Anolis sagrei: one gene and its partner. The protein of the gene in region 1 purifies or fractionates together with the protein of each later gene. This does not show direct contact. Links are inferred from orthologs where the notes say so. Each region holds a gene or a part of one and is shown in the gene's direction. Other genes may lie near its edges. The genes, in order: DAPK1 and IFI30.

Region 1 (15,511 bases):
ACTATTTATTTAAAGACAAATAACAATTTACTATTAATTAGAATGTCATATCATAAAAATACACCTGCCCCTGAAAATGGGGGTACAAGAACATGTTGAATTTTACTGGTGAACGTATCCTTGCTAGAAAATTATGATAGCTTGTCTTCTTTGCCCAATAACAATTAGAAACTGCTGGCAAATAATAGGATTCTATACAGAATTTTGTGAGGCTGTCAACTGAATTCATGCCTAGTTAGCTTAGCTTTTGAAAGAGAATTTGCTGTTATCTTGTAACTATTGCTCTCACTTCCTTCTACTTTAAGGGCGAGTATATGCTCCCTAGTCTGCTATGCAATTAGTTGTCTAAGCAAGAAACATCTTTTCCAAGAAAATGCAAAAATGTCTCTTCAGAGAATTCACTGGACTTTTTCACCTTTTCTCTTATAACAACATTGTTGTGTGTAATGCAATATCTTTGTTGGAAATAGAAAGTCATCGCCACTGTCTTACGTATTTACAGAGGCCTCCAGATTACATTGTTGTAACTATGTCACAAGAGACTACCTTTAAAAGCTGAATGGAAACTTCAGGTAGTGAAGGCTGCATTGGTCACCCATTAACAGACATTGACTGGCAGTCCCTTATACTGTATTTGCACTGAAGTTGCTTATTGGCTGTGTGTTTCACTGCCTTCATAACCTTTAAATGGCTTGGGCCTTTTCCTTTGCATGGCCTTCACAACACAAAATTTTCTAGTAATGTCCAGCTTGGAATTTCCAGAAGCTTACCTGAATACCCATTATGAACTGGGCACTGTCCATAACAACCTCAAAGGTGTAGAACAAACTACCATAGGAACCTCAAATGAATAGATCTACCATCAGAATCTCCATGTACCAGTATCACCAGTCAGTAAGTCTGGTTTATATAGAAAAACCAACTCCCAGGATGAATAACAGAGCAAGTTTCTGGGTGTAGTAATCAGAGACTGAATTATTTCAACTTTATCCAGCTTTATCTCCATAATACACAACACAGATCCGGTGGCAATTAAGGCTGAGATGAAGAACAAGGTCACAAGTAAAACTGCCAGAGCCTATTACATCTAATAGGCAACCCAGACCTCTATCAATATACATTACATTCTTTGGGTTGTTGTAGGTTTTTCAGGCTGTATGGCCATGTTTGAGAAGCATTCTCTCCTGATGTTTTGCCCACAACCTCGCCTTACAACCTCTGAGGATGCCTGCCACAGATGCAGGCAAAACGTCAGGAGAGAATGCTTCTTGAATATGGCCATACAGCCTGAAAAACCTACAACAACCTAGTGATTCTGGCCATGAAAGCATTCAACAATGCATTACATTCTTTGCTGGGATGGAGGAAAGCTGGAGGTTAGGAGCTTGGTGTTGCATCTGACTAACCAGAGGCCTTTCACCCAAATTACTCCTCCATCCCACTGCCAGATCATGGAGGGGTGATTTGGGTGAAGGGCCTCTGATTAGTCAGATGCAACATCTAATATCAAAGGCCTGTATCTCATATTGTTTGGCTTAAGATTTAATTATTTTTATTTGTCATGTCAGAAGTAAGTTGAGGATACAATTAAAATGCATTTAAAAACACAAACAACGTTTAACAACTTGGCATTATACTAAATATTCTTTGACCAGAAGCTGGCCACTTGGAGTGCCCTTGGTGTCACTAAGAGAAGGTCCTTTATTGTGCCTGTGGCAGGGCTCAGATTGCATTGTAATAGGTGGTTTATGTATGGTTTGCTCTTCTCCACATTCACATGTCATGGGCTCCACTCCATAGCCCCATTTCTTAAGGTTCATTCTGCATCTTGTGATGCCAGAGTGCAGCCTGTTTAGCACCTTCCAAGTTGTCCACTCTGCTGTGTGCCCAGGAGAGAGTTTCTCATCCAGTCTCAGCCACTGATTGAGGTGCTGGGTTTTTGCCTGCCACTTTTGGTCTCTTGCATGCTGAGGTGTTCCTGCAAGTATCTCTGTAGATCTTAGGAAGCTGTTTCTTGATTTAAGGGGTTGGCATGCTGTCTGATATCCGAACAGAGGATGGCCCGAAGATGTCAATGCCTTGGTCCTTTCATTGCTGGCTACTACTTCCCAGCAGATGTTAGGTGTTGCGAAAGCAGCTAAACAGTGTAATGTTTCCAGTGGTGTGGGACATAGACATCCTGTGATCCTGCAGCATGAGATAAAAACTAATTATGGATAAAAGTCCTATTTGTGAAGATTTCTGAATTAGCTAAGATGGACAAACTGATAGTGCTGATCAAGGAGAAATCTTTGACTAACTTTAAGAAAAGCTGAGGTTTATTTGTTATTTTTTACACCAAAGATGGGAACAAACTTTAATTATTGGTTTTCTGATTTAGAGGAGTGTTATGAAAAGGAGAAGTGTGTATATATAGTGCTATCTAAAGGGAGCAGAAAATAAGAAGTAAAAATCAACAAACAATGAGTGTGAGGCTTGTAGATTAGTTCTAGTAGTTATATCTGTAGAATGTGTTTATAAGTGTAGGTTTGTCTTAGTTGGTGTAAGTTTAGTTTAATATATTATTAAAACTGTTTTCCTGGTATTGTTTCTGTTCCTTTTCATTTTTTTCTTTTTTGAATTCAATTTTTTAAAACGATAAAAGCCCTAAATGTCTCTTTTTTGTCAGCCACCATACAATATCTGGAACCTTCTTGCCCAAATTAGTTCAGTTAAATCAGAATATAGAGCAGATGGAACACTGCTGAGGTTCCTTTTGGTAAAAGAACACTATGAACACATGTGATTTCTGAACTTCTGTTCACCTTTGATGATATATTCTTCTGATGAGAGAACAGAGTTCACAACGAAGTTAAAAGCATCTTGTCGGCTCTGGGTTGTGTGTTCCCTTGGGGCTGTGTATAGTCTGTAATACTGTTTCAAACACAAATGCTAAGTTAGATCTGGATGGGGAAAAACATTTAGGAATATTGTAAAATCATAATATAAAATGTACCATGTACTTGACAGTTAACAAATAGAGAAAAAAAGTTGATTTGATTTTTTTTATCTTGGTAATAAAATATTAAATATAACAAATGTTGCAACATTTCTGCTTAATTAGGAATATATCTGTTTCCCAAAATGCTTCAGTTTGGTTTCCTTTCCTCACTCCTGAGTCATACCAATAGTTTCAGCTTGTTATATAAGCCAGCTGGTACTGCAAGCTACATTTAATTCTAGGCAGTTATCTTTGCTTTGTTTTGGCAATTTATATTTCAATACCATCAATATGAAACAGGTTCAGTATGGTGGGACTGTTTTCCTTAAGATAAAAAAAAACACACACACACACACTTTGACTAAAAGTTTCAAAAGTACACCATTTCCTTATATTCTTATCCTTAAGAACCTCATTGCCATTCACGAAATATCTCAAACTGAATCATTGGACTGTAAGGTGCTACAAGACTTATCGGTTTCACTGTATGGGGATTCATTAAAACCAGATTAATATTCTTTATCTTGATGAGTCCCTTATAATATGAAGATAGAAAATGGAGTTTCCTCATTGTTAACCTACCTGCCAATAGTGATTGATCATCACCAGCTTCATGCCATAGTGTCTGTTTTGAGGAACAAATGCAAAGTGCTGGGTTTCTTTTTTTTACCAAAATGTTTTCCAAACTTGGGAGAAAGTTTATTATTCTTTATCCCAGCCATTGATGTTCTAAATCAGCCTATGGCACAGTTCTATCAGCGTAACATTTGAGCTGGTTCAGCAAGTCAAAGTATGTGGGTAAGAGCTGTTTCCTTGGAGATTCTTGAAAGCTGGAACCTGAGCACATTTCAGAAGCTTTATAGGAGTTAGTAGAAGTCACTCTGAGGGGGTTAGGAATAAACCCACATTTAAATTGGATTTTAAAAAAAGCTTTTAAAACATGTTATGTATTGAGCTGTGAGATGGGCAAGTGTGCAAATCAAAACAAATATTCGTCCCTTCCATCATAATCCCATATCTACAGAACCTATATAAGCACAGGTTATATAGGTTTGGGGTTGTACTGTATTAAGAAGGATCTATGGGGAGAGGTGGGTAATAAACAAACAAATAACAATAATGATAATAACATTTATTGCATATGTTGACTACACATAAAAGTAGAGAGCAGGTTGTGGGGCCAAAATTATGGATTTTTATATGACCCGTGGGAAATCCCCATGGGTCATATAACAGCCACCGCTGCTGTTGTTTTCTAACCGAGCTATTCTAATAAGCCAGAAACAGCACAACAAAGAGAGTAGAGGATTGGTCAGATCATCGTTTCTCAACCTGGGAGTTGGGACCCCTGGGGGGTTGCAAGGGGTGTCAGAGGGGTCACCAAAGACCATCAGAAAACACATATCAGATCTTTACATTACAATTCATAACAGTAGCAAAATGACAGTTAGGAAGTAGTAACAAAAATAATTTTATGGTTGGGGGTCACCACAACATGAAGAACTGTATTAGGGGGTTGTGGCAATAGGAAGGTTGAGAAACACTGTTTTAGATTCTCCTGGGACATACTAAACTCTTGCCTTTCACCACTTTACTCAGAGAAGGAAATGGCCCTTTTGTTGATAAGGAGATATAGTACTCCCATTGATCTATGGATAAATAAGCCCTTGTTTTTTGGGTTGATATTTTGAGTAAAATTTCTAAATTTACAAGTGAACATATAATAATAATAATAATCTTTATTTATACCCCGCCACCATCTTCCCATGGGGAATCGGGGCGGCTAACATGAGGCCAAGCCCAGAAAATACAATAAAGCAAAGTAAAATACAAACAAGCAAATAATAGCATCGCAAGCGTGTCTGGAGGGGACGAGAGGCAGGGCCTTCTCAGAGGTGGCCCCTCGGCTGTGGAACTCCCTTCCTAGGGATATTAGATCAGCCCCATCCCTCCTGACCTTCAGGAAAAGAGTAAAAACTTGGCTTTTCCAACAAGTGTTTGGAAATGTAGCAAAATAAATAATTACGAAATATGAAGAATGAACACGGAATGGCTAGACAATGCTGCTGGATAATGATTTTAATAGGATAACACTGGTAATTATGTGTTTTTAATGGTTTTATATAGTTTTTTTTATAATATTAGGTTGGATGTTTTCAACTGTATTTTTATGAATATACGGCATCAGATTCTGCCAATTTTGTAAATCACCTTGAGTCGCTGTAAGGCTGTAAGTCGCTGTAAGGCTGAGAAATGCAGGTTACAAATACCATAAATAAATAAATAAATAAATAAAGCACATCTGAGTATTCCTTGGCTTAGAAAACCTTATAAAACTCAAGGACATGCCACAAGTTGACAGTCAACAAACACATCCATGTTACACCTGTTGCAGAACCAAGTCATTGGAAGATATATTTCTCTTAATATGGCAGCTCCTATGTGGCAAAGCGCCTCTTGCTTACTAGTCAGAGAGTATCAATAATTGCATTTTGTTGTATAACAAGAAACATGATACAGAAATGTTAGTGGTTTCAGCATTGGACTGCAACCCTAGAGACCAGGGGTACATCTCCACTGTCGACCGAATGCAGTTTGATATCACTTGAACTGCCATGTCTCAACACATTACTGATTCTGAGAGTGTAGTTTGGGACGTCACCAACACTCTTTGGCAGCGAAAAACTAAATACCTTATAAGACTATAGCTTCCATGATTCCAGAACACTTGAGTCATAGCAGTTCAAGTGATCACAAACTGCATGAATTCCAATGTAACTGCACTCTTGGTTTTGTTGATGAAACCCACTGTGTGAACTTAGAGATGTCACACTATCTTAACCTTAGAGGAAAGCAATGACAAACTCCATTTGAACAAATATTCCCAAGAACCCTGAGATAGGTTTTCCATAATCACTTTAGGATGGAAACAATTTGAAGGCCAACAAGAAAGGGAATAGCCCAATTCTGGTTCAAGCATGGTCCAGGGCACCTCTATACCAGGCTTGGGAAAACTTGGGCCCTCCAAGTGTTTTGGACTTCAACACCCACCATTCCTAACAACCTTGGGGCCTTTCATTTTCCTCTTCCGCCTCAGCTGTAAGGAGGTGTCAGCTGGCCTTGATTGATTCATGTCTGGAATTAAAGGTAGTAAGCAGCCAGGCTTTGAATTTGCGAGGCCATTTGCGAGGATATAGAGAGGCAACTGTATAGAATGGAGATAGGTTGGCAAAGATTCCAGTGATGCTTTTGCAGAGAAGAGACATGGAAAGAAAGTCTGTAGGATTTAATGCCTTTATTGAGTTGCTGTGAGTTTTCTGGGCTGTATGGTCATATTCCAGAAGCAATCTCTCCTGACGTTTTGGCCACATCTATGGCAGGCATCCTCAAAGGTTGTGAGATCTGTTGGAAACTAGGCAAATGGGGTTTATATATCTGTGGAATGATCAGGATGCGAGAAAGAACTCTTGTCTGCTTGAGGCAAGTGTGAATGTAAGCCACCCTGAGTCCCTTCGGGGAGATGGAGGAGGGATACAAAAATAAAGTTGTTGTTATTGGCCACCTTTGTTAGCATTGAATGACTTTGCACCTTCAAAGCCTGGCTCCTTCCTGCCTGGGGGAATCCTTTGTTGGGAGGTGTTAGCTGGCCCTGATTGATTCATGTCTGGAATTCATGGTAGGAAGCAGCCAGGCTTTGAATTTGAGAGGCCATTCAATGCTAATGAAGATGGCCAGTTGCAGCATTCACACTTGCCTCAAGCAGACAGGAGTTCTTTCAACAAAAGATTGCTCCAGGCAGTGCCAGGCCATCAAATGCTAATCAAGGTGGTCAGTTGAAACATTCACACCTAGCTCCAACAGACAAGAGTCCTTTGTCCCACCCTGGTCATTCCACAGATATATAAACCCTTTTTCCTAGTTCCAACAGACCTCACTACCTCTGAGGATGCTTGCCATAGATGCAGGCGAAACGTCAGGAGAAAATGCCTCTAGAACATGGCCATATTATTATTATTATTATTATTATTATTATTATTAACTTTATTTGTACCCCGCTAGCATCTCCCGAAGGACTCGATGCGGCTTACAAAGGCCAAGGCCACAAAACACAACACAAACAATATAACACCAAAAGCAAAATTAAAAACAGTTAAAGCAATATTAACGAATGCAATAGACAGTATATCAAGACACAATAAAAACTGGGCTGGGCCAGAGTAATGGGTACAGGATTAAAAGTGCTGATGTGGCAGGTGGTGTACGAGGATTATAGGGCAAGTGCAGTGTATGGTGTGCAATAATCTTAATTCTACTAAAAGTGCTTTGAGGACTTGTTATTGGAGATTTCCTATTCTGGAAAGGCACATCGGAACAGCCAGGTCTTCAAGTTCTTTCTAAAGACTGCCAATGTAGGGGCCTGTCTAAGATCTTTTGGGAGGGTGTTCCAGAGTCGGGGGGCCACCACAGAAAAGGCCCTGTCTCGAGTCCCCACCAGCCGCGCTTGTGACGTAGGCGGAATTATGAGCAGGGCCTCACCAGATGACCGAAGTGAACGTGTGGGTTCATAGATGCAGTTCATAGATGCGGTCACTCATATAGCCTGAAAAAACCTACAACAACACAAAGAGTTCTTTCTTCCACCCTGGAGAAAGCACCGAGGCAGGAAGCAACCAGACCTTGAAGCTGCAAGTCTATTGAATGCTAATGAAGGTGGCCAATTGCAACATTCACACTTGCCTCAAGCAGACAAGAGTTCTTTCTCCCACGCTGGACATTCCGCGGATAAATAAACCTCACTCGCCTAGTTTCCAACAGATCTCACAACCTCTGAGGGTGCCTGCCATAGATGTGGGCGAAACGTCAGGAGAGAATGCTTCTGGAGCATGTCCAGACAGCCCGGAAAACTGACCGCGACCCAATTCTGCAGTGTCTTCATCCCCAGAGCTTGTTTCCAACACGGCCATACCAACTTTGCTTCTTCTGCCAAGGCAAGGCTCGCCTCGAGGGGCCTTGCTGCGTGGCACTAGAGCCCCGGAGCCCTGGGGTCTGCCTGTCACGGCAACCCGAGAAGGGCGGCAGGCATCCATCCTGGCCGCCTCTCCTCCGGTGCCAGTGGGAGGGGAGCAAGGCGCTCGGTGCCAGCCAACCTGTGGCACGGCGGGGCGTGAGAATGCGTGCGCACCGAGCCCAACTCTGGCCTTGTCCCCTCCCTCCTCCCCTCCTGTCGTGGGCAGGTCAGGGGAAGAAGGAGGAGGAGGAGGAGGAGGACTGAGAAGGCGGCTGCTTCCCTATTGGCCGCGGGCCCGGGGTCCTCTTCCTCCTCCTCCTCCTCTTCTCAATTGCTCAGTTCTGGAGCGCAAAGGGCGCTTGGAGAGGGAGCGGAGGCCGGTGAGTGGCGACCAAAACAGGGGAAACGGTGGGGATTGGGGCGAGCTCCGGTCCCTGGAAGGGAGGCAGGAAGGGAGAGGGAAGGGGGCGGAGAGAAGGGGCGGGTTTCTTCCCCTCCCCTGCCGCTCCTGGGGCCGCCCCAAAGCGAGGAAGGAGGGCCAAGCGGGGCTGCGTGCACGGCGACTCCCTCTCCGCCCCTTGCAGCACCACCGCCTTTCAAAGGGCTGGGTGGGGGAAAGAGGGCTCCTCTCCCTTCCCCCTCTTTCGGGGGGCTTAGCCGGGCGCCAGTCTCCCCCTTTTCCGCCAGGGGAGGGGAGGGGAGGGCCTTGCGAAGGCGAAGGGGGAGGAAGAAGGAGCCTCCCCCCCCCCCCGTCCTCCTTTTACGCACGCCTCAGGTTGGCCGAGGATGCCTGCTCTTTCTCTCGCCGCCGTTCCTTGAGCCGAGAGGCGAGCCGGGTTTGTTCTTTTCCCCGCTGCTTTCCTCGGGGTGGCAAGGGCGGGAGGAGCAGCGGCGGCTCCTCCTGGTCGCACGTCCGAGTTGGCCGGGAAACGGAGGGGGAGCCGCGGAGGAATGTGCCTTCCTGCAAACGGGGGAAGCCATGGAGGCGCCGGGAAAGGTGAGGCCATTCACGGCGGAGGAGAAAGGGAGAGAGAGAATGAGAGAATGAGAGCTCCCCTTGGAGTTCAGGAGGGCCTCTTCGCCTCCCCTTGGTCTTGGACAGGCCCCGAGTCCTTCTCCTTCTCCCTTTCCAGCTGGTGGGCTTTCCAATCCAGAGCCCGGCTTTTGAGGAGGGGACACACACACACACACACAGAGCCTTTCCCTTTTACGCCGCCCAAATGAGCAGCCTGGTCCTAGAGCAGTGCTTCTCAGTGCCTCGACCCCTTCATAATGTTCCTCATGTTGTGGTGACATCCCAATCATAACATTATTTTCGTTGCTACTTCATCACTGTCATTTTGCTACTGTTATGAATCGTCATGTAAAGATCTGATGTGCAGGATGCATTTTCATTCACTGGACCAAATTTGGCACAAATACCCAATACGCCCAAATTTGAATACTGGTGGGCTTGGGTGGGGGATTGATTTCGTCATTTGGGAGTTGTAGTTGCTGGGTTTTATAGTTCACCTACAATCAAAAAGCATTTTGAACTCCACCAACGATGGAATTGAACCAAACTTTGCACGCAGAACTCCCATGATCAACAGAAAATACTGGAAGGGTTTGGTGGTGTCATTTGGGAGTTGTAGTTGCTGGGATTTATAGTTTGCCTGCAATCAAAGAGCATTTTGAATTCCATCAATGATGGAATTGAACCAAACTTGGCACACAGAACTCCCATGAGCAATAGAAAATCCTGGAAGGGTTTGGTGGGCATTGACCTTGAGTTTTGGAGTTGTAGTTCACCTATATCCCGAGAGCTCTGTGGACTTACACAATGATGGATCTGGACCAATTTTGGCACAAATACACAATACTCCCAAATGTGAACTCTGGCGAAGTTTGAGGGGAAAAGGCCTTGGCATTTGGGAGTTGTCATTGCTGGGATTTATAGTTCACCTACAATCAAAGCGCATTCTGAACCCCACCAATAATAGAATTGAGCCAAATTTTCCACACAGAACTGCCATGACCAACAGAAAATACTGTGTTTTCTGATGGTCTTTGGTGACCCCTCTGACACCCCCTTGTGACCCCCAGGTTGAGAAACACTATCCTAGAGTGAAGTTTAGCAGCCCATTGATTTGCCACTCAGCCTCAAAGGGAATCCATTAACATCCGGCATTGTGGGTCTGTTTTGACGTTTGGGCTGTGTGTGTGTGTGCTAGACATAGTGACACCACCACGCCCCTCTTGCAAACAGTGGCATTTAAATTCACCTTCTGCCTGTCTCTTCTTTTTGCAGCTCTGCCTGAAGTGCTGGGAAATCCTTCCCAAAACACAGTGAGGATGAGTTGAAAAGCAAGGACCGAGGATTGTATTTCTATCCTGAGGAGTGGCAGCTATCATGACTGTCTTCAGGCAAGAGAACCTGGATGATCACTATGATATTGGAGAGGAACTTGGCAGGTATGGGATTCGCCGGAAGGAAAGCGTGCAGTCTTTATAGGACAATGTTGTTAGGGATGGTAAACAAATAACAAATTGGTGGGCCATTGGTATCCACTGAGGTTGTTTCCGGGACTCCATGGATATGGGGTCCATGGATATGAAAAACCAATCTATAGTGTCTAGATCCAAGGAAGTCATGCAACCCCTCTATTCAGCCTTGGTCAGATTACACCTGGAATCGCACTGTGTCTAGTTCTGGGCATTGCAATTGAAGGGAGATGTTGACTCTAAGATGGAATGAGTCCAGAAGGGGGCGACTAAAATGATCAAGGTTCTGGAGAACAAGCCCTATGAGGAACGGCTTAAGGAACTGGGCATGTTTAGGCTGCAGAAGAGAAGGCTGAGAGGAGACATGGTGAGGACCATGTATAAATATGTGAGGGGGAGATGGAGGAGGGATCCAAAAATAAAGTTGTTCTTGTTATTGGCCACATTTGTTAGCACTGAATGACCTTGCATCTTCAAAGCCTGGCTCCTCCTGCCTGGGGGAATCCTTTGTTGGGAGGTGTTAGCTGGCCCTGATTGATTCATGTCTGGAATTCATGGTAGGAAGCAGCCAGGCTTTGAATGCTAATCAAGGTGGCCAGTTGCAACATTCACACTTGCCTCAAGCAGACAAGAGTTCTTTCTCCCACCCTGGACTTTCCACAGATATATAAACCCCACTTGCCTAGTTTGCAACACACCTCACAACCTATAAGGATGCCTGCCATAGATGTGGGTGAAATGTCTGGAGAGAATGCTTCTGGAACATGGACATACAGCTTTGAAAACCACAGCAAACCAGTGATTCCAGCCATGAAAGCCTTCAGACAACACAATGTCTTTATTGTTAGCCTGCTCCAATGAGGTACATATGTAGAGAAGTTCAAGGAATGTTCTGTATTGTCTAGGCCAGAAGTAATATGTGCTATATTATATCTGATGTTCATTATGGTTGGGTATTGAATATTACTGCCACTACTGTTAAGTGATTTCTAGGTAGGTCCCTTTCTCATTTGCCATAGATAGGTAATTACAACCTAATGCAGTTTGGTGTTTTAAAGGCTTGCGAAGCATTGTGTTGGGGATCATTATAATTGACCCTATTGTCTGTTTCATGCTGTGAGTAACTTATTATAAGCGTGGTTTGCATGGGTGGTTGTTTCTTATTTATGCACTAAGTTCTAACAGCAGCAATAGCAAATTGTTGGTGTAGGTTGAGATTGCAAATTTAGGATTAATAATTTGTTCAACTAACAATTGAATTCTAGAAAGAATTCTCTATGAATGAAGATCATTTCTGATATATATATTTCACTCAAATGAAGATCAGACTCTTTCAGAAGTATCAGAGTTCAATTATTCTGTCCAGCCAAATGTCAGATCAAGAGATTTATAGTCATTAAGCAGTGTAGGTTTAACACAGCCTTCATAAAGCTTGTTAGTTGAATACTACAGAATCCTGTGTCTGTGCCACAGCTTTGTGATGGAAAACCCAGACCATTGACTAGTGATTATAGCTTCTTTTTGCTTTTCAATCTCTGTTTAATTCCTAAATGAAGTGCGTGCTTCATAGTCTGCAGTGTGTTTGTTTCCTGTATTTTAAAACTCAGGGTTTTTGATATTTGAGATAAATGATTGCTGCATATATCCGTATTGTGTTGTCAAAGGCTTTCATAGCTGGAATCACTAGGTTGCTGTGAGTTTTTCAAACTGTATGGCCATGTTCCAGAAGCATTCTCTCCTGATGCTTCGCCCACATCTATGGCAGGCATCCTCAGAGGTTGTAAGTTCTGTGGAATGTCAAGGGTGGGAGAAAGAACTCATGTTTGTTTGAGGCAAGTGTGAATGTTGCAATTAGCAACCTTGATTAGCATTGAATCGCCTTGCAGCTTCAAAGCTTAGCTGCTTCCTGCCTGGGGAATCCTTTGTTGGGAGGTGTTAGCTGGCCCTGATTGTTTCTTGCCTGAAATTACCTTGTTTTCTGAGTGTTGTTCTTTGTTTACTGTTCTGATTTTCTAATTTTTTTAATACTGGTAGCCATACATTTTCATATTTTCCTCCTTTCTATTGAAATTGTCCCCATTCTTGTGGATTTCATTGGCATCTCTGTACAGTCTGCATTGCTTTCCTCAATATTCTATCATTTTGCCTGTTTTCACAATAATTCTAAATAGAAAATCAGATAGTGATTTTAGAATCATGGTTTGAGGTGTTTTTCTACATTGAAATTTGTGTTTGCATTAACTGTATTTTGTCAATAGAGATATTCTGGCCAATCATAGCAAAAATTGGAACTCAACAGTGAAACTTACATGCAGAAAGCAAAAAATAGCATTAATGTATCCCTAGTGGTTTGACTAAGGTGGGATGAATGGAAATTTGAAACTGGGTTCAGATTGACTCATTCTTTGTGTAGGTATGGCTTCTGCCTGATTTCGGTAATGTTCCCTTTCAATTTACTTTTGATATCTGTACATCTTGAAAGTTGTTTCATAAAAATATGGCAATGTCAACTTACTTTGGGAAAAATGTGTTTTCTGTAGGTATTCTAAGCTGAATATACCATACATACTCAATGGATAAGTCAACCTCATATATAAGATGAGGACAGGATCGGAGATAGATAAGTTGCTCATAATTCTGTGGAGGGGGAAAGCAACCATGCCACTTCAGAGGAGCAGCCACATCTGGCCATTGCTGCCATTTTCCTGATCAGACATTTAAAAAGGCCAGAATAGCACCAAAATGAAGAGGAGTAGGGGCTAGTGCTTCTTTTAAGTTATTCTGGGGATGGACGAAGTTCTTGGTAGTTCCTTTTTTGGGTTATTGTGAGTTTTCCAGGCTGTATCACCATGTTTCAGAAGCATTCTCTCCTGATGTTTCATCCACATCTATGGCAGGCATCCTGAGTGGTTATGAGGTCTGTTGGAAACTAGGCAAGTGGGGTTTATATATCTGTGGAATATCCAGTGTGGGAGAAAGAACTCTTTGTCTGCTTGAGGCAAATGTGAATGTTGGAATTGGCCACCTTGATTAGCATTGAATAGCCTGGTAACTTCAAAGCCTGCCTGCTTCCTGCCTGGGGAATTTTTTTTGTTGAGAGATGTTAGTTGGCCCTGATTGTTTCCTGTCTGGAATGCCTCCTTTTTTGAGTGTTACTTTTTTATTTATTGTCCTGATTTTAGAGGGTTTTTTTTTTAATACTGGTAGCCAGATTTTGTTCATTTTCATGGTTTCCTCCTCTCTGTTGACATTGTCCACATGCTTGTGGATTTCAATGGCTTCTCTGTGTAGTCTGATATGGTGGTTGTTAGAGTGGTCCAGCATTTCTGTGTTCCTTTTTTGATAAGAGTTAACGTACAATATTCAACTTGGATCAAGATTTTTGAGGTTGACTGTTTGACTAAAATTTCTAGACTTATAAATGTGTGTATGGGGGGGCATGGTTTAGTTAGAATATTCTGTGAAGCACTTTAACTACTCGTTGGGTTGCTCTCCCTTTATTTCTTTTAAAACCTCTTACCAGATACATCCTATCTCTGTTCATGCCTAGCGTTTATTTTTTTAAATTTTAAACTATTACATTTGGCCCAGCCATAGGTTTTTTAATCCTTGCATGTTATTGTTTATATGTGATTTATACTAATGGTGGCGGGGTATAAATAAAGATGTTGTTGTTGTTGTTGTTGTTATGAAAGAAGTTTAGCTACAGGAAGATCTGTAGCTTCAGAGCATAAGCAGAAAACCAGAACTGAATAATGACTTAACATTTGACTTGCTTTTGTATTTCTTTCTAGAGGGGATATTATAATTTTATGGCAAACTGATAGATTTCCTATCATTCAATTTAAATCTAAACATTATAATTCCGTCATACCACAGAACTGTTTGATTTCTTCAGCGCAGATTACTTCGGTGTTGATTCTTAAGGGTTTGACATTGTCACTTGGAGTTATAGAAATAAATACTAATTTAGAACACAGATCATAATTAATTCTGATGTTTTGTTAAACATGTTTAAGAAATAATCTTTCAAAATACTTCTGAGTAATAGAAGAATCCAGAATGCTAGATTCACTCAGGGTTTTTTTTCTTTTTGAATGAGCTCAGAACATGAAACCTGGCTTTTCTCTTTCCCATTTTATCCTCCACAAACAACCCTGTGATGTAGATCATACGGAGAGATAATAAATAGCTGAAGGTCACTCAGGCCCTTTCACTGCCCTATATCCTGGGATCTGATCCCATATTATCTGATATAAACTTATATGAGTCCTCACTTCCAGATATTCTGGGATAAGAAGATAATCTGGGATCAGATCCTCGGATATAGGGGCGGTGTGGAAGGGGCCTTAGTTTTCATGGTTCTTCACCAGGTTATGGTGTTGCACTTGAACCTAATGCAACAGTTCAACCATTATATTATTTATTATTATATGGCAAAATTGTTGTTTCAAAATAATGCTTCCTCCTAGCACATTGCTGCTGATTTTTCCTTTTGAGTTTACTCCAAAGACATTACTAATGGTTAACAGAAATCTTATATTCAGGGGGGAATGTGATGTAGCAAACAAGTTAGTGAGATCCTGTTGAAATCTGTATATATTAATTTGCATGGTTCATAATATAGGTTGAATATCTTTTGTACCCCAAAATTGTTCACACGAGACAGTGAAATAGGGGCATTTTTAGAATTCTGATTGTTCATGTACAAGATTATATAAAATGCTGAGTATAAAATTGCCTTCAGGCTCTGTATATAAGGTGTGTATGGGACATAATGGAATTTTGTGTTTAGATGTGGACCCCATCTCCAAGATACCTCACTGTGTATATGCAAGATTTCCGAAATCTAAACATTCTGCAGTGTGGAACAGAGCTGGTCCTAAGGAGTTCAGATAAGGGATGCTCAACCTGTATGTGCCATTTTAGGAAACTGTCTAAAGAGTATCTTGTGCTACATCAGATAACTTGCCCATCTAGTTTAATGCAATCTAAAAGATCTCAGAAGTTTGGGACCTAACTTTATTCAGTCATTTATT
Region 2 (16,304 bases), on another chromosome or scaffold:
ATGAGGTCTCTTCCAACTCTTTTCTTTGATTCTATGACTGGATGTCCTTTGGGGGTCCCTTCCAACTCTTCTATTATTATTATTAAGCAAAGGCTGGGTGGTCATCTGTCTGGAGTGCTTTGATTGTGCTTTTCCCACCTGGTAGAAGGGGATTGGATTGGATGTCTTTTGGGAGTTCCTTCCAACTCGATATTATTATTATTATTATTATTATTATTATTATTATTATTACTAGCCGTCCCCTGCCATGCGTTGCTGTGGTCCACATGGGGGTTCTGTGTGGGAGGTTTGGCCCAATTCTATCGTTGGTGGGGTTCAGAATGCTCTGTGATTGTAGGTGAACTATAAATCCCAAATGTCAAGGTCTATTTCCCCCAAACTCCATCTGTGTTCATATTTGGGCATATGGAATATTTGTGCCAAGTTTGGTCCAGCTCCACCATTGTTTGAGTCCACAATACTCTCTGGATGTAAGTGAACTACAACTCCCAAACTCAAGGTCAATGCATACCAAGCCCTTCCAGTATTTTCTGTTGGTCATGGGAGTTCTGTGTGCCACGTTTTGTTCAATTCCATCATTGGTGGAGTTCAGAATGCTCTTTGATTGTAGGTGTACTATAAATCCCAGCAACTACAACTCCCAAATGTCAAGGTCTATTTCCCTTAAACTCCATCTGTGTTCATATTTGGGCATATGGAATATTTGTGGCAAGTTTGGTCCAGATCCATCATAGTTTGAGTCCACAGTGCTCTCTGGATGTAGGTGAACTACAACTCCCAAACTCAAGGTCAATGCACACCAAGCCCTTCCAGTATTTTCTGTTGATCATGGGAGTTCTGTGTGCCAAGTTTGGTTCAATTCCATCACTGGTGGGGTTGAGAATGCTCTTTGATTGCAGGTGAACTATAAATCCCAGCAACTACAACTCCCAAATGACAAAATCAATTTTTTTTGAGTGGAGGACATAAATTGGACTGTTAGGTGTCTTGTGTCCAAATTTGGTGTCAATTCCCCTAGTGGTTTTAGAGTTCTGATGGTAGCACGAACTAACATTACATTTTTATTTATATAGATTATTATTAGCATTAGTATTAGTAATATGCAAAGGCTGGCCTTGGCATCTGTTTAGATAGAGAGGTTCTGGGAAGAATAATTTTTTCCAAGGCTGGGCTTGCCCAAAGTCAGGGAGAACCCGTCCTGCGGGTTTGTGGGCGCTTTGCGGTCCCTTTGCGCAAGAGGCATTGGGCAAGTTTCCATAGCCAAGGGCCAAGGTAAGGGTTTGGAGCCATGAGCTTCAAGGGTTGGAGGTGGATTGGGGCCTTTGACATGGATCAGGGCACTCCGACATGCATTGGTAGGGAGTAACAGCCCAAGAGAGCCTTCACAGTGAAGGGCAGGCACCCTACCTGGTTTCTGGTAGAGCTGGGATATGAGTTCAGATCGCAACCCGAATGAGGATGTTCTTTTCCAAAACCCCCTTATAAACCCCATCATGCAGAACAGATCAGAAATTCAACTTTTTGGTTACAAATGGAGATCGAGTGGAGCGTGAGGCCAGTTTTAAGTCCCTGGGTGCTACATTGCTTAGGAAGACTTGCCATTGTGATGGTGAAGAGGGCCCAGCAGAGATTGCATTATAATCTGAGACTTTTAAGGAACCAAGAATTACCACTCCTGCCCAGAGAATTGTAGGTTAGGGTTAAGGTTACAAATGAAGCCAAAACCAAGGTCACAACAAACACCTGTTATAGAACTTCAGTATGCTGATGATAATGTAGTCTGTGCGCATTCAGAAGAAGATCAGATTAGATTACTGCAACGCGCTCTACGTGGGGTTGCCTTTGAAGACTGTTCGGAAACTCCAACTAGTCCAGCGGGAGGCAGCCAGACTGCTCACCGGAGTGTCATACAGGGAGCATACCACCCCCGTTATGTCAGCTCCACTGGCTGCCGATCCAGTTCTGAGCACAATTCAAAGTGCTGGTTTTGACCTACAAAACCCTATACGGCTCCAGCCCAGTGTATCTGTCCGAACGGATCTCCCTTTACGTCTAAGATCTTCTGGGGAGGCCCTGCTCTTGACCCCGCCTCTATCACAAGTGAGGTTGGCGGGGACGAGGAGCAGGGCCTTCTCGGTGGTGGCCCCCCACCTGTGGAATTCGCTCTCCGGGGAAATTAGATCAGCGACATCACTCCTTTCGTATTGTCGAAGGCTTTCATGGCCGGAATCACTGGGTTGTTGTAGGTTTTTCCGGGCTATATGGCCATGTTCTGGAGGCAATTTTTCTCCTGACGTTTCGCCTGCATCTATGGCAAGCATTCGCAGAGGTAGTGAGCTACTTCCAACAGACGTCACTACCTCTGAGGATTCTTGCCATAGATGCAGGCGAAACGTCAGGAGAAAAATTGCCTCCAGAACATGGCCATATAGCCCGGAAAAACCTATAACAACCCAATTACTCCTTTCCTTCAGGAAAAAACTGAAAACATGGATTTGGGACCAGGCATTCGGACAATCGTGCAGATAAAGAAAGGACTTTGAGAATGGCCAGGAAATGACTAATGGAATGGAATTTGGAACTCTGAAAGCCGACAAGCCGCTCTAAACGCCTTTGCAGACATACAAAAAGCTTGGTCTCTCACTGGACATCAAGAAAACCCATTATTATTATTATTATTATTATTATTATTATTATTATTATTACTAGCTGTCCCCTGCCATGCGTTGCTGTGGCCCACATGGGTGTTCTGGGTGGGAGGTTTGGCCCAATTCTATCATTGGTGAGGTTCAGAATGCTCTGTGATTGTAGGTGAACTATAAATCCCAGCAACTACAACTCCCAAATGTCAAGGTCCATTTTCCCCAAACTCCACCAGTGTTCACATATTGGCATATTGAGTATTCGTGCCAAATTTGGTCCAGATCCATCATTGTTTGAGTCCACAGTCATTTTTAGATGTGGGTGAACTACAACTCCAAAACCAAAGGACACTGCCCACCAAACCCTTCCAGTATTTTCTGTTGGTCATGGGAGAACTGTGTGCCAAGTTTGGTTCAATTCCATTATTGGTGGGGTTCAGAACGCTCTTTGATTGTAAGTGAACTGAAATACAACATTGCCTGAGCTCTGCAAGTGCAGCATTTTTCCAAATGAAGCAGAGAGTGTTTAAAAATCGGGACATCGGTAGGGAGACCAAGGTACTTGTTGATAAAGCCATTGTCCTCCCAACCCTGTTATATGCCTGCGAAACGTGGACTGTCTACAGACGTCACATGCAACTCCTGGAACGATTCCATCAGCGTTGCCTCTGCAAATCTCTTGGGGGGAAAATACCGGCGGACAAAGGTCAGCGTTCTGGAAGAAGCAAAGACCACCAGCATTGGAGCGGTGCTCCTATGCCATCAACTCCACTGGACTGACGGCCACATTGTACGAATGCCCACAGATCACTGCCTCCCGAAGCAGTTGTTATACTCCCAACTCCAGAATGGAAAACGTCATGTTGGGGGACAGGAAAAGAGATTTAAAGATGGACTTAAAGCCAGCCTTAAAAACTGTGACATAGACAGCGAGAACTGGGAAGCCCTGACTCTTGAGGTCAGCTGTGACCAGCAGTGCTGTGGAATTTGAAGAGGCACGAATGGGGGACAAAAGGGATAAACATGCCAAGAGGAAGGCACGTGAAGTCAACCCTTACTGGGACTGCCTTCCACCTCGAAACCAATGTCTTCACTGTGGAAGATGTGGGTCAAGAATAGGGCTCCACAGTTGCCTACGGACCCACCGCCAGTACACCGATCTTGGAAGACAATCCTATCTGACAATGAGGGATCGCCTAAGTCAGTGGTTCTCAACCTTTCTAAAGCCATGACCCCCAAGCTTTCTAAAGCTTGACGCGCCTTCCTCTTGGCACGTTTCTCTCTTTCGTCCTCCATTCGTGCCTCTTCAAATTCTACAGCACTGCTGGTCACAGCTGACCTCCAGCTGGAGCATTCAAGGGCTTCCCAGTTCTCAGTGTCTATGCCAAAGTTTTTAAGGTTGGCTTTGAGCCCATCTTTCAATCTCTTTTCCTGTCCACCAACATTACGTTTTCTGTTCTTGAGTTCGGAGTAGAGCAACTGCTTTGGGAGACGGTGGTCGGGCATCCGGACAACGTGGCCGGTCCAGCTGAGTTGATGGCGGAGGACCATCGCTTCAATGCTGGTGGTCTTTCCTTCTTCCAGCACGCTGACATTTGTCTGCTTGTCTTCCTAGGAGATTTGCAAGATTTTCCGGAGGCAGCGCTGATGGAATCGTTCCAGGAGTTGCATGTGACGTCTGTAGACAGTCCACGTTTCGCAGGCATAGAGCAGGGTTGGGAGGACAATAGCTTTGTAGACAAGCACCTTGGTCTCCCTACGGATGTCCCGGTCCTCAAACACTCTGCTTCATTCGGAAAAATGCTGCACTCGCAGAGCTCAGGCGGTGTTGAATTTCCGTGTCAATGTTAACTTTGAATGTACCTTCAACCGATTCAGCTCTGACTCCACAGACCACTGAGACCCCCACAAATTACAGAACTGGATGAAACTTGGCACAGAGAACCCACATGACCAACAGAAAATACTGGAGGGGTTTGGGAGAAATTGGCAGGGATTTAGGGGAGATGTAGTTCACCTACATCTGGAGAGATCTGAGAAACCCAACAACTATGGAACTGGATCAAACTTGGCATGAAATACTCAAAATGCCTAAATTTGAACACTGGTGGAGGTTAGGGAAAACAGATCCTGATATTTGGGAGTTGCAATTACTTGGAGTTATAGTTCACCTGCCATCAGGTGAACTATAACTCTATGGACGGAACCAACCTCCCTCTTAAAGACACCTACAGAATCATAGAGTTGGAAAAGACCTCTAAAGGCCATCCAGTCCAACCCCCTTCTTTCTGCCAAGCATGAAAAGCACAATCAAAGCACCCGATAGATGGCCATCCAGTCTCTGCATCATGATGATGATAATCTAGAGTTGGAAGAGATCCCCAAAGGCCATCCAGTCCCTTCAGTGAGAGGGGAAAGGATAGAAATAAACATTATTGTTATTTGATACATGACAATATTAGTACACAGCAAACAAGCTCACCCTGCTGGTTTTTGTATTTGATCACACATCGGACATTTCCCAAGTGTCTAGGACCATGTGATATATCGGCAAAAAATGTATGCAGATTCGAGTAGGGTGGCCTTTTGCAGCTGACAGGTGGTGATTTTGTCAGCACCAATGGTTTTTAAGTGCAGGCCAAGGTCTTGAGGCACTGCACCCAGTGTGCCGATCACCATTGGGGCCACCTTGACTGGCTTGTGCCAGAGTCTTTGCACTTCGATCTTTAAATCCTTGTAGTATTATTATTATTATTTGAAACACAACAAGATGAGTCCACAGCAGACACTCTGCCGACTGTTGAATTGGATCACACGTCGGACACTTCCCAAGTGTCTAGGACTGTGTGATGTATTAGCAAATAATGCGTGCAGATCCCAGTAAGGTGGCCTTCTGCAGCTGGCAGATGGTAATTTTGTCAGCGCCGATTGTGTTTAAGTGCAGGCCAAGGTCTTTAGGCACTGCACCCAGTGTGCCGATCACCACTGGGACCACCTTGACTGGTTTGTGCCAGAGTCTTTGCAGTTCAATTTTAAAATCCTCATATCGTGTCAGTTTTTCCAGTTGTTTCTCTGCTATTATTATTATTATTATTGTTATTATTATTACTACTATTATTATTATTATTAGGAGCCCCCAGTGGCACAATGGATTAAACCCTTGTGCTGGCAGGACTGAAGACTGAGAGGTTGGAACAGAAGAATAAGATTATATGTTAACGAGGGTGTTGAATAATATGTAACTACTATAAACAAATGTATAATAAATGTAATAATTGATAAAATAATAAAAAATATATTTTTTAAAAAGACTGGGAGGTTGGAGGTTCGAATCCAGAGAGAGCGTGGAGGAGCTCCCTCTGTCAGCTCCAGCACCCCATGCAAGGACATGAGAAAAGCCTCCCACACAACATGAAAAACGTCCAGGCAACGTCCCCTGGGAAACATCCTTGCAGACAGTCAATTCTCTCACACCAGAAGCAACTTGCAGTTTCTCAAGTAGCTCATGACACAAAAATTATTATTATTATTATTATTATTATTATTATTATTATTATTATTCTGTGTGTTCCTAAGGCTGGTGAAGGGGTCTTAAAGGCAGCAACGGAAGACACACAAAAGTGACAGAACACATCTAGTGTGAATGAGAAGGAGAAAAGGAGGCGGCCTTTTCAGGTCAAATCAAAGGAAGGAGGAGGAAGAAAAGGGAGGGAGGAGAAGGAAGGGAAGAAAAGAAAGAAAAAAAGAAAGAAGAAAAGGAAGGTAGGGAGGAAAAAGAAAGAAGGAGGAAGGGAAGGAAGGAAGGAAGGAAAGAAAGAAAAGGAAGGGAGAAGAAGGAAGGAGGGAATGAGGGGAGGGAAGAAAGAAAAGGAAGGGAGAGGGGGAGGAAGGAAAAGGAAACAAAGAAAAGGGAGGAGGGGATTAAGGGAAAGGGAGGAAAGAGAAAGTAAAAGAAGGAAGGAATTAAGGAAAAAGAAGGAAAGAAAGAGAAGGAAGGGAAGAAAAGAAGGAAAGAAATAAAAGAAGGAAGGAATTAAAGAAAAAGAAGGAAGGAAGGAAAGAAAAGAATTAAGAAAAAGGAAAGAAAGAAAAAGAAGGAAAGAAAGAAAAGGAAGGAAGGAATTAAGGAAAAGGCAGCAAGGAAAGAAAGTGAAACAAAGAAGAGATTAAGTAAAAAGAAGGAAAGAAAGAAAGAGAGAGAAAGGAATGAAGGAAAAGGAAGGAAAGAAAGAAAAGAAAAGGGGAGGAAGGAACTAAGGAAAAAGAAGAAAGGAAATGAAGGAATGAAGGAAAAGGAAGGAAGGAAAGAAAGAAAGAAAGAAAAGGGAGGGAGGAGCTAAGGAAAAAGAAAGAAGGAAGGAAAGGAAGGACTGAAGGAAAAGGAAGGAAAGAAAGAAAAGGGAGGGAGGAACTAAGAAAAAAGAAGAAAGGAAAGGAAGGAATGAAGGAAAAGGAAGGAAAGAAAGAAAGAAAGAAAAGGAAGGAACTAAGGAAAAAGAAAGAAGGAAGGAAAGAAAGGAATGAAGTAAAAGGAAGGAAAGAAAGAAAGAAAAGGAAGGAACTAAGGAAAAAGAAAGAAAGAAAGAAAGAAAGAAAAGGGAGGAAGGAACTAAGGAAAAAGAAAGAAGGAAAGAAAGGAAGGAATGAAGGGAAAGGAAGGAAAGAAAGAAAAGAAAAGAAAAAGGGAGGAAGGAACTAATGAAAAAGAAAGAAGGAAGGAAGGAAAGGAAGGAATGAAGGAAAGAAAAGGGAGGAAGGAACTAAAGAATAAGAAAGAAGGAGGGAAAGGAAGGAATGAAGGAAAAGGAAGGAAAGAAAGAAAAGGAACTAAGGAAAAAGAAAGAAGGAAGGAAAGGAAGGAATGAAGGAAAAGGAAGGAAAGAAAGAAAGAAAAGGTAGGAAGGAACTAAGGAAAAAAGAAAGAAGGAGGGAAAGGAAGGAAGGAAGGAAAAGAAAGGAAAGAAAGAAAGAAAAAGGAGGAAGGAACTAAGGAAAAAAGAAAGAAGAAAGGAAAGGAAGGAATGAAGGAAAAGGAAGGAAAGAAAGAAAGAAAAGGAAGGAAGGAACTAAGGAAAAAAGATGGAAGGAAAGGAAGGAATGAAGGAAAAGGAAAGAAAGAAAGAAAGAAAGAAAGAAAGAAAGAAAGAAAAGGGAGGGAGGAACTAAGGAAAAAGAAAGAATGAAGGCATGAAGGGAAAAGGGAGGAAGGAATGAAGGAAACGGAAGGAAAGAAAGAAAGTAAAAGAAGGAAGGAAGGAAGGGAAAGGAAGGACAGAAAGAAAAGAAAGGAAGGAGAAGAAGTTGGCTGGCGAGAAGGGACCCCTGAAGGTCATCTAGCCCAACCTTGCTGGGGAGGGCAAAGGGAAGAAGGGCTGCTTCCTCCTTCTCCTCCTCCTCCTCCCGGAGGCGGACCAGAGAGAGAACAGCTTGCTGAGGGAGAAAGAGGGAGGAGCCAACCCGGCCCCCCTTCCCCAAAGGAGCCTCCTCCCTCCCAACCTCCCTCCTGGGCTTCTTCCCTGGCCAGAAGGACGAGCTCATGGCTCTGGCGAGGCTGTTCTGGGTGTTGTCGGCCAGTGTGTCCCTTTTGGGGGGCGCTGTGTTGGGGGGCCCTCCTTGCCCCCAAGCCCCGCCCCTCTGGTGCCACCACGGGGAGACCGCCCGCACCTGCCAGGTGAGTGGGAACCTGGGAAGGGACCTCCCAAGGCCAGCCAGTCCCACCCCCGAAGGCAGGAGGAGAGAGGCACCCAGAAGGTGGGGAGTCCTCCAGTCTAGAGACAGAGAGAGAATCCTCCAACTGGAAGGGACCTCTCCAGTCCAACCCCTTCTGGCATTATGCAGGAAGAGCCCAATCAAAGCACTCCCAACAGGTGGCCATCCAGCCTCAATAATAATAATAATCTATATACATAAAAATGTAATGTTCGTTTGTGGGATTAACAGAACTCAAAAACCACTGGATGAATTGACACCAAATTTGGACACAAGACACCTAACAACCCAATGTATGTCCTTCACTCAAAAAAATTGATTCTGTCATTTGGGAGTTGTAGTTGATGGGATTTATAGTTCACCTACAATCAAAGATTTTAAATCAAAATCTTTGGTAAAATCAAAATGTTTTGGTTAGACCACACCTGGAATATTGTGTCCAGTTCTGGGCACCACAATTCAAGAGAGATATTGACAAGCTGGAATGTGTCCAGAGGAGAGCGACTAAAATGATAAAAGGTCTGGAGAACAAGCCCTATGAGGAGCGGCTTAAGGAGCTGGGCATGTTTAGCCTGAAGAAGAGAAGGCTGAGAGGAGATATGATAGCCATGTATAAATATGTGAGAGGAAGCCACAGGGAGGAGGGAGCAAGCTTGTTTTCTGCTTCCTTGGAGACTAGGACGCGGAACAATGGCTTCAAACTACAAGAGAGGAGATTCCATCTGAACATGAGGAAGAACTTCCTGACTGTGAGAGCCGTTCAGCAGTGGAACTCTCTGCCCCGGAGTGTGGTGGAGGCTCCTTCTTTGGAAGCTTTTAAACAGAGGCTGGATGGCCATCTGTCAGGGGTGATTTGAATGCAATATTCCTGCTTCTTGGCAGAATGGGGTTGGACTGGATGGCCCATGAGGTCTCTTCCAACTCTTTGATTCTATGATTCTAAAGAGCATTCTGAACCCCACCAACGATGGAATTGAACCAAACTTGGTACACAGTTCTCCCATGACCAACAGAAAATATTGGAAGGGTTTGTTGGGCAGTGTCCTTTGGTTTTGGAGTTGTAGTTCACCTACATCCAGAGATCACTATGGACTCAAACAATGATGAACCTGGACCAAACTCTACACAAATACTCAATATGCCCAAATGTGAACACTGGTGGAGTTTGGGGAAAATAGAATCTTGACATTTGGGAGTTGTAGTTGCTGTGATTTATAGTTCACCTACAATCATAGAGCATTCTGAACCCTACCAATGATAGAATTGGGCCAAACCTCCCACACAGAACCCCCATGTGGGCCACAGCATGGGGGCACAGAGAGATGGAATCTTAGAGTTGGAAAGGACCCCCAAAGGCCACCCAGTCCCATCCCTTTAGACCAGTGTTTCTCAACCTGTGGGTGCCCAGATGTTTTGGCCTTCAACCCCCAGAAATCCTAACAGCTGGTAAACTGGCTGAGATTTCTGGGAGTTGTAGGCCAAAACACCTGGGGATAAACAGGTTAAGAACCACTGCTTTAGATAAACATGTATTGACGAATGGATGGATGGATGAATAGATAGATAGATAATTAGATAAAGAAAGACACACGTGGATAGATAAATAGAGAAAGACAGAAATGTAGATAGATGGATGGGTAGATAGGTAGATAGGTAGGTAGGTAAGTAAGTAAGTAGGCAGGCAGGCAGACAGACAGATAGATAGATAGATAGATAGATAGATAGATAGATAGGCAGATAGGCAGATAGGCAGATAGACAGGCCAATAGACCGGTAGGTAGACAGACAGACAGGTAGATAGACAGGTAGATAGGTAGGTGGGTAGACAGACAGATAAGTAGATAGGTAAGTGGGTAGATAGATACAGAGACAGACCAATAGGTAGGTAGATAGGTAGGTATGTAGGTAGGCAGATATACAAGTAGATAGATAGGTAAGTAGGTAGGTAGATAGATAGATAGATAGATAGATAGATAGGTATGTAGGTAGGTAGATATAGACAGGTAGATAGGTAGGTAGATAGGTAGATAGATAGATAAGTAGATAGGTAAGTAGATAGATAGACAGATAGATAAACAGACAGTAGATAGGTAGGTACATAGATAGGCAGATATACAAGTAGATAGATAAATAAGTAGGTAAGTAGGTAGGTAGATAGATAGATAGATAGACAGACAGACAGGTAGGTATGTAGGTAGGTAGATATACAAGTAGATAGATAGGTAAGTAGGTAGGTAGATAGATAGATAGATAGATAGACAGACAGGTAGATAGGTAGGTATGTAGGTAAGTAGATATAGACAGGTAGGTAGATAGATAGACAGGTAGGTAGGTAGATAGATAAGTAGATAGGTAAGTAGGTAGATAGATAGATAGATAGATAAACAGACAGTAGCTAGGTAGGTACGTAGATAGGCAGATATACAAGTAGATAGATAGATAAGTAGGTAAGTAGGTAGATAGATAGATAGACAGACAGGTAGGTATGTAGGTAGGTAGATATAGACAGGTAGGTAGGTAGAAAGATATATAGACAGATAGGTAGGTAGGTAGGTAGACAGATAGGTAGATAGATAGATAGATAGATAAACAGACAGTAGATAGGTAGGTACGTAGATAGGTAGATATAGACAGATAAGTAGGCAGGTAGATAGAAAGACAGACAGGTAGGTAGATGAATATTTATGTATATAATTATAATTATTTATATATATTTATAATTTCTATAATTATAAATAAATAATAGACAAACAGGTAGAAAGATAAGTAGATAGATAAGTAGGTAGATAGATAGACAGATAGGTAGGTACGTAGGTGGGTAGATAAAGAAACAGGTAGATAAACCGACAGACAGGTAGAAAGGCAGGTAGATGGATACGTAGGTAGGTAGGTAGTTACATAGATACATATATACATAGGTGGATGGATAGGTAGGTAGATAGGTAGAGAGATAGAGAAAGAGAGACATGTATTGGTGGATATATGGACGGATCGACCGACAGTTAGTTAGTTAGTTAGTTAGTTGTAGTGTTGGACGGACGGATGGACGGACGGACAGACAGATAGATAGAGGAAAAGACCCCCTAGGGTCATCCAATCCCTTAAGATAGATAGAGGCATACATTTCTTTTATTTCATTTATTTACCCTATTTATATCCTGCCCTTCTCAACTCTGTAGAGAAGTCAAGGTGGCTTACATGTATAGGCAATGATTCAATGGCATGTAAACATATATATATAGTAAAATAAACATCTATTTTAAAATGATCATTAAAAACCAACATATCAAACTCTAAAACACTATTTAAAATCACATTATCCGAAATCATAGTCCATGGCCACGGACGGACAGACAGACTGGGTTGGGTTGGATGGCCTTTGGGAATCTTTTCCAACATTATTATTATTATTATTATTATTATTGTTATTGAGACTGGATGGCCATCTGTTGGGAGGGCTTTGATTGTGCTTTTCCTGCATGAGGGCAGAAGGGGGTTGGACTAGATGGCCCTTGGGGATCTGATCTCTTCCTATTCTATTTATTGTTATTACATTATTATGTGGAACACAACAAGAACAGTACACAGCAAACAAGATCACTGTGCTGGTTGTTGTATTGGATCACACGTTGGACACTTCCCAAGTGTCTAGGACTATGTGATGTATCAGCGAATAATGCGTGCAGATCCCAGTAGGGTGGTCTTTTGCAGCTGACGGATGGTAATTTCGTCAGCGCCGATTGTGTTTAAGTACAGGCCAAGGTCTTTAGGCACTACACCCAGTGTGCCGATCACCACTGGGACCACCTTGTTATTGTTATTGTTATTATTAACACCAGGAGATGAGTCCACAGCAGGCACCCTGCTGGCTGTTGTAGAGGATCACACGTCGGACACTTCCCAAGTGTCTAGGACTGTGTGATGTATCGGCAAATAATGCATGCAGATCCCAGTAAGGTGGCCTTCTGCAGCTGACAGATGGTAATTTGGTCAGCGCCGATTGTGTTTAAGTGCAGGCCAAGGTCTTTAGGCACTGCACCCAGTGTGCCGATCACCACTGGGACCACCTTGACTGGTTTGTGCCAGAGTCTTTGCAGTTCAATCTTTAAATAATTTAATGATTATTATTTTATTTTATTAAATTATTACTATTATTATTATTATTATTATTATTATTACTATTGCGATGATGGCAGGGGAAAAAACCCTTCTTTGGAATTCCCCAGCATTTCTGCAGAATTGCAAGGAAGGTACTGTCCTAATTGCCCAGAAAAGGCTTCTTTCTTTCACTTCGCTTTTTGAAGAAGGAAGCCGGGTTAAAAATAAAGAATGATCAAGTTGCCTTCTGACTCACAGTTCTGCAGATGCTGTGCCCTATAGAAGAAGGGTAGTTCAGCTCACTTTGGGGCCAAACAGAGGGGTTTCCATTTCGGAACTGAATCCTAGAGTTGGAAGAAAGACACCGCAAGGGCCATCCACATCTAACCCCTTGCCAAGCAGGAAAACACAACCTGAGCCCTCCCAACAGATGACCATGCACCTTACGCTTCAAAACCCCCAGAGAAGGAGACATATGACTCCCAGGCAGCACATTCTGCCAGGATTTGGAAATTACCTGGCATTGTCTAAGTGATAGCAGAGTTAATACCTTTGACCTGACCACCTGCACAAGAGTGAAGCCACTCTAGTTAGGGTGTAGTAGTTAATGCAATGGGAGTAGTATATAGTATATTTTAATGTTGAGTCAAATGTTTTTAATGTTAATGTATGCATATAATGTATGCAAGAAGGCAAAATGGTTGTCTGCTGAGACACTGGAAGTAGCCCAAGAAAGGAGGAAAGCAAAAGGAAACATTGATAAGGGGAGATATGCCCAATTAAATGCGCTGTTCCAGAGGTTAGCCAGAAGAGATAAAGAACTATTTTTAAACAAGCAATGCATGGAAGTGGAAGAAGACAACAGAATAGGAAGGACAAGAGACCTCTTCCAGAAAATTAGAAACATTGGAGGTAAATTTCAGGCAAAAATTGGTATGATAAGAAACAAAGATGGCAGGGACCTAACAGAAGCTGAAGAGATCAAGAGAAGGTGGCGAGACTATACAGAAGATCTGTATAGGAAGGATAACAATATCGAGGATAGTTTTGACAGTGTGGTGAATGAATTAGAACCAGACATCCTGAGGTTGGATGGGCCTTAAGAAGCATTGCTAACAACAAGGCAGCAGGAGACGACGGAATCCCAGCTGAACTGTTTAAGATCTTGGAAGAGGATGCTGTCAAGGTGATGCGTGCCATATGCCAGCAAATATGGAAAACACAAGAATGGCCATCAGATGCAACGAAAAATATTGACAAAATGGTACAGAACTCCTGTGCAACTGGCGCATATCACAAAAACGTGCCCAAAATTATGTTGGCACAACTGTGGTAAAATAGGAACATATGCCCACATGTGGTGGGAATGTGAAAAAATCCAAAAGTTCCAAGAAATAATCAGGAAAGAAATGGAGGAGCTATTAGGGATCAAGATAGAATGGAATAAGGCCAAATTTTTCACTCAGAAATTCGAAAATAAAGAGGAATATAAGGAAAGTGAGGAAATAATAAAACATATGATAGAGGGAATTAAAGCCTCAGTGGCCCTGAGGCTTTAATGTTGGAAAGACCACAAGAAATGGGATACAAAAACCTGGTACAAATATTTAGCAGATTACCTTCTTCAAGATTATATTAGCGAAAGGAAAAGTTACTATATGATGGGTCAAAGCAAAAAGACATGGAAAGCAAAATGGAAGGGCCTCATATATAGAATAAAGGGGAAAGATAAATATACGGTGTTGAACAAAACTATTCTCATGATTGAACAATTGTAATAAACACAACTAAAGTATCTATTTGTTCCCGGTGGGGGGGGGGGGGGTGTGCTGGTGGCGGGATTGGGGAAAAAACTGGTATTTTGAATGTTATCTTCAAAGATGGAATGTTTCTATGTATTATACAATAGTAATTTTGAATGTTATTTTCAAAGATGGAATGTTTCTATGTATTATACAATAGTAATAATAAAATTTAAAAAAATTTAAAAAAATTATAGTTGGGGAAAAAAATAAAAAAATAAAAAAAGAATGGCCATCAGACTGGAAAAAATCAACTTGTATCCCCATACCAAAAAAAGGGAAATGTGAAAGACTGCTCAAACCTCCGTACAGTGGCCCTTATTTCTCATGCCAGTAGGGTAATGCTCAAGATCCTGCAAGGCAAGGAAGACTCCAGCAATACATGGAGAGAGAGTTGGCAGATGGACAAGCTGGGTTTAGAAAAGGCAGAGGAACGAGAGACCAAATTGCCAACATCCGCTGGATAATGGAGAAAGGCAGGGAGTTTCAGAAAAACATCTATTTCTTTTTCATTAACCATTCTAAAGCCTTTGACTGTGTGGATCATAATAAATTGTGGCAAGTTCTTGGTGGGATGGGCATCCCAAGCCACCTTGTCTCTCTCCTGAGGAATCTGTACAAGGACCAAGTAGCAACAGTCAGAACTGACCATGGAACAACAGACTGGTTCAAGATTGGGAAAGGCATACGGCAGGGTTGTATACTCTCACCCAGCTTATTCAACTTGTATGCAGAACACATCATGCGATGTGCGGGGCTTGACAAATGTGCTTTTCCTGCATGGCAGAAAGGGGTTGGACTCAATTGCTTGTGTGGTCTCTTCCAGCTTTATTATTATTATTATTATTATTATTATTACTACTACTACTACTACTACTAATAATAATAATAATAATATTAATCATTAAGCACAGGCTGGATGTCCATCTGTCAGGGTGTGTGTGTGTGCTTTGATTATGTTTTGATCCTGCATGGTAGAAGGGGGTCAGACTCAATTGCTTGTGTGGTCTCTTCCGACTCTATTTATGATGATGATGATGGTTATTATTATTATTACTACTACTATTACTTATCTTTAAGCAGAGGCTGGATGGCCATCTGCCGGGGGGTGGGAGGATGCTTTGATTGTGCTTTTCCTACATGGCAGATGGACTAGATGGCTTTGGTGCTCACTTCCAACTCTATTTATTGTTGTTGTTATTGCTTATCATTAAGCAGAGACTGGGTGGCCATCTGTCAGAGTTGTGGTGCTTTGATTGTGCTTTTCCTGCCTGAAGGCAGAAGGAGGTTGGACTAGATGGCTTGTGTGGTCTCTACCAACTCTATTTATTATTATTACTACTATTACTATTATCATTAAGCAGAGGCTGGATGGGCATCTGCCGGGACGGGGGGTGGGTGGGGGAGGATGCTTTGATTGTGCTTTTTCTGCGTGGCAGAATGAGGTTGGACTAGACCGCTTTTGTGGTCTCCTCCACCTCTATTGATGATGATGATGATGATTATTATTATTATTATTATTACTTATCATTAAGCAGAGGCTGGATGGCTATCTGTCAGGGTAGTGGTGCTTTGATTGTAGTTTTCCTGCCTGGAGGCAGAAGGAGGTTGGAGTAGATGGCTTGTGTGGTCTCTTTCTTCCAACTCTTATTATTATTATTATTATTATTATTATTACTTATCATTTAGCAGAGGCTGGATAGCCATCTGCTGGGGTGTGTGCTTTGATTGTGCTTTTCCTGCCTGGCAGAAAGAAGGACTGGATGGTTTGTGTGGTTTCTTCCATTACTATTATTATTATTATTATTATTATTATTGTTCCTCGGAGTCCGATGGAAGCTCTTTCCTTGGAGACTCTTAAACAGAGGGCCACCTGTCGGGTGTGTGTGTGTGTGTTCCTTTCCTGCATGGCAGAATGAAGTTGGACTAGATGACACCTGAGGTTGCTGCTATTACTGCCATCATCATTATTATTACTATTACAAAGGCTGGATGGCTATCTGCTGGGGCTGCTTTGATTGTGCTTTCCCTGCATAGCACAAGGGGGTTGGAC

What was found.
Region 2: the proteins of DAPK1 (region 1) and IFI30 purify together in Homo sapiens (affinity purification with mass spectrometry; 3 studies listed by BioGRID and IntAct, counting the BioPlex papers as one, with this or other methods). This does not show direct contact. The link is inferred for Anolis sagrei from reciprocal best matches to the Homo sapiens genes DAPK1 and IFI30.

What each region holds. Positions count from the first base shown.
Region 1 is NC_090022.1:230,171,866-230,187,376, forward strand, and holds the start of DAPK1 (death-associated protein kinase 1), read left to right. Parts: upstream 1-8,239; 5' UTR 8,240-8,368; intron 8,369-8,501; exon of another isoform or gene 8,502-8,985; intron 8,986-10,278; 5' UTR 10,279-10,380; coding exon 10,381-10,442; intron 10,443-15,511. UniProt on the Homo sapiens protein: Calcium/calmodulin-dependent serine/threonine kinase involved in multiple cellular signaling pathways that trigger cell survival, apoptosis, and autophagy.
Region 2 is NC_090034.1:59,103,933-59,120,236, forward strand, and holds the start of IFI30 (gamma-interferon-inducible lysosomal thiol reductase), read left to right. Parts: upstream 1-8,131; 5' UTR 8,132-8,178; coding exon 8,179-8,313; intron 8,314-16,304. UniProt on the Homo sapiens protein: Lysosomal thiol reductase that can reduce protein disulfide bonds. May facilitate the complete unfolding of proteins destined for lysosomal degradation. Plays an important role in antigen processing.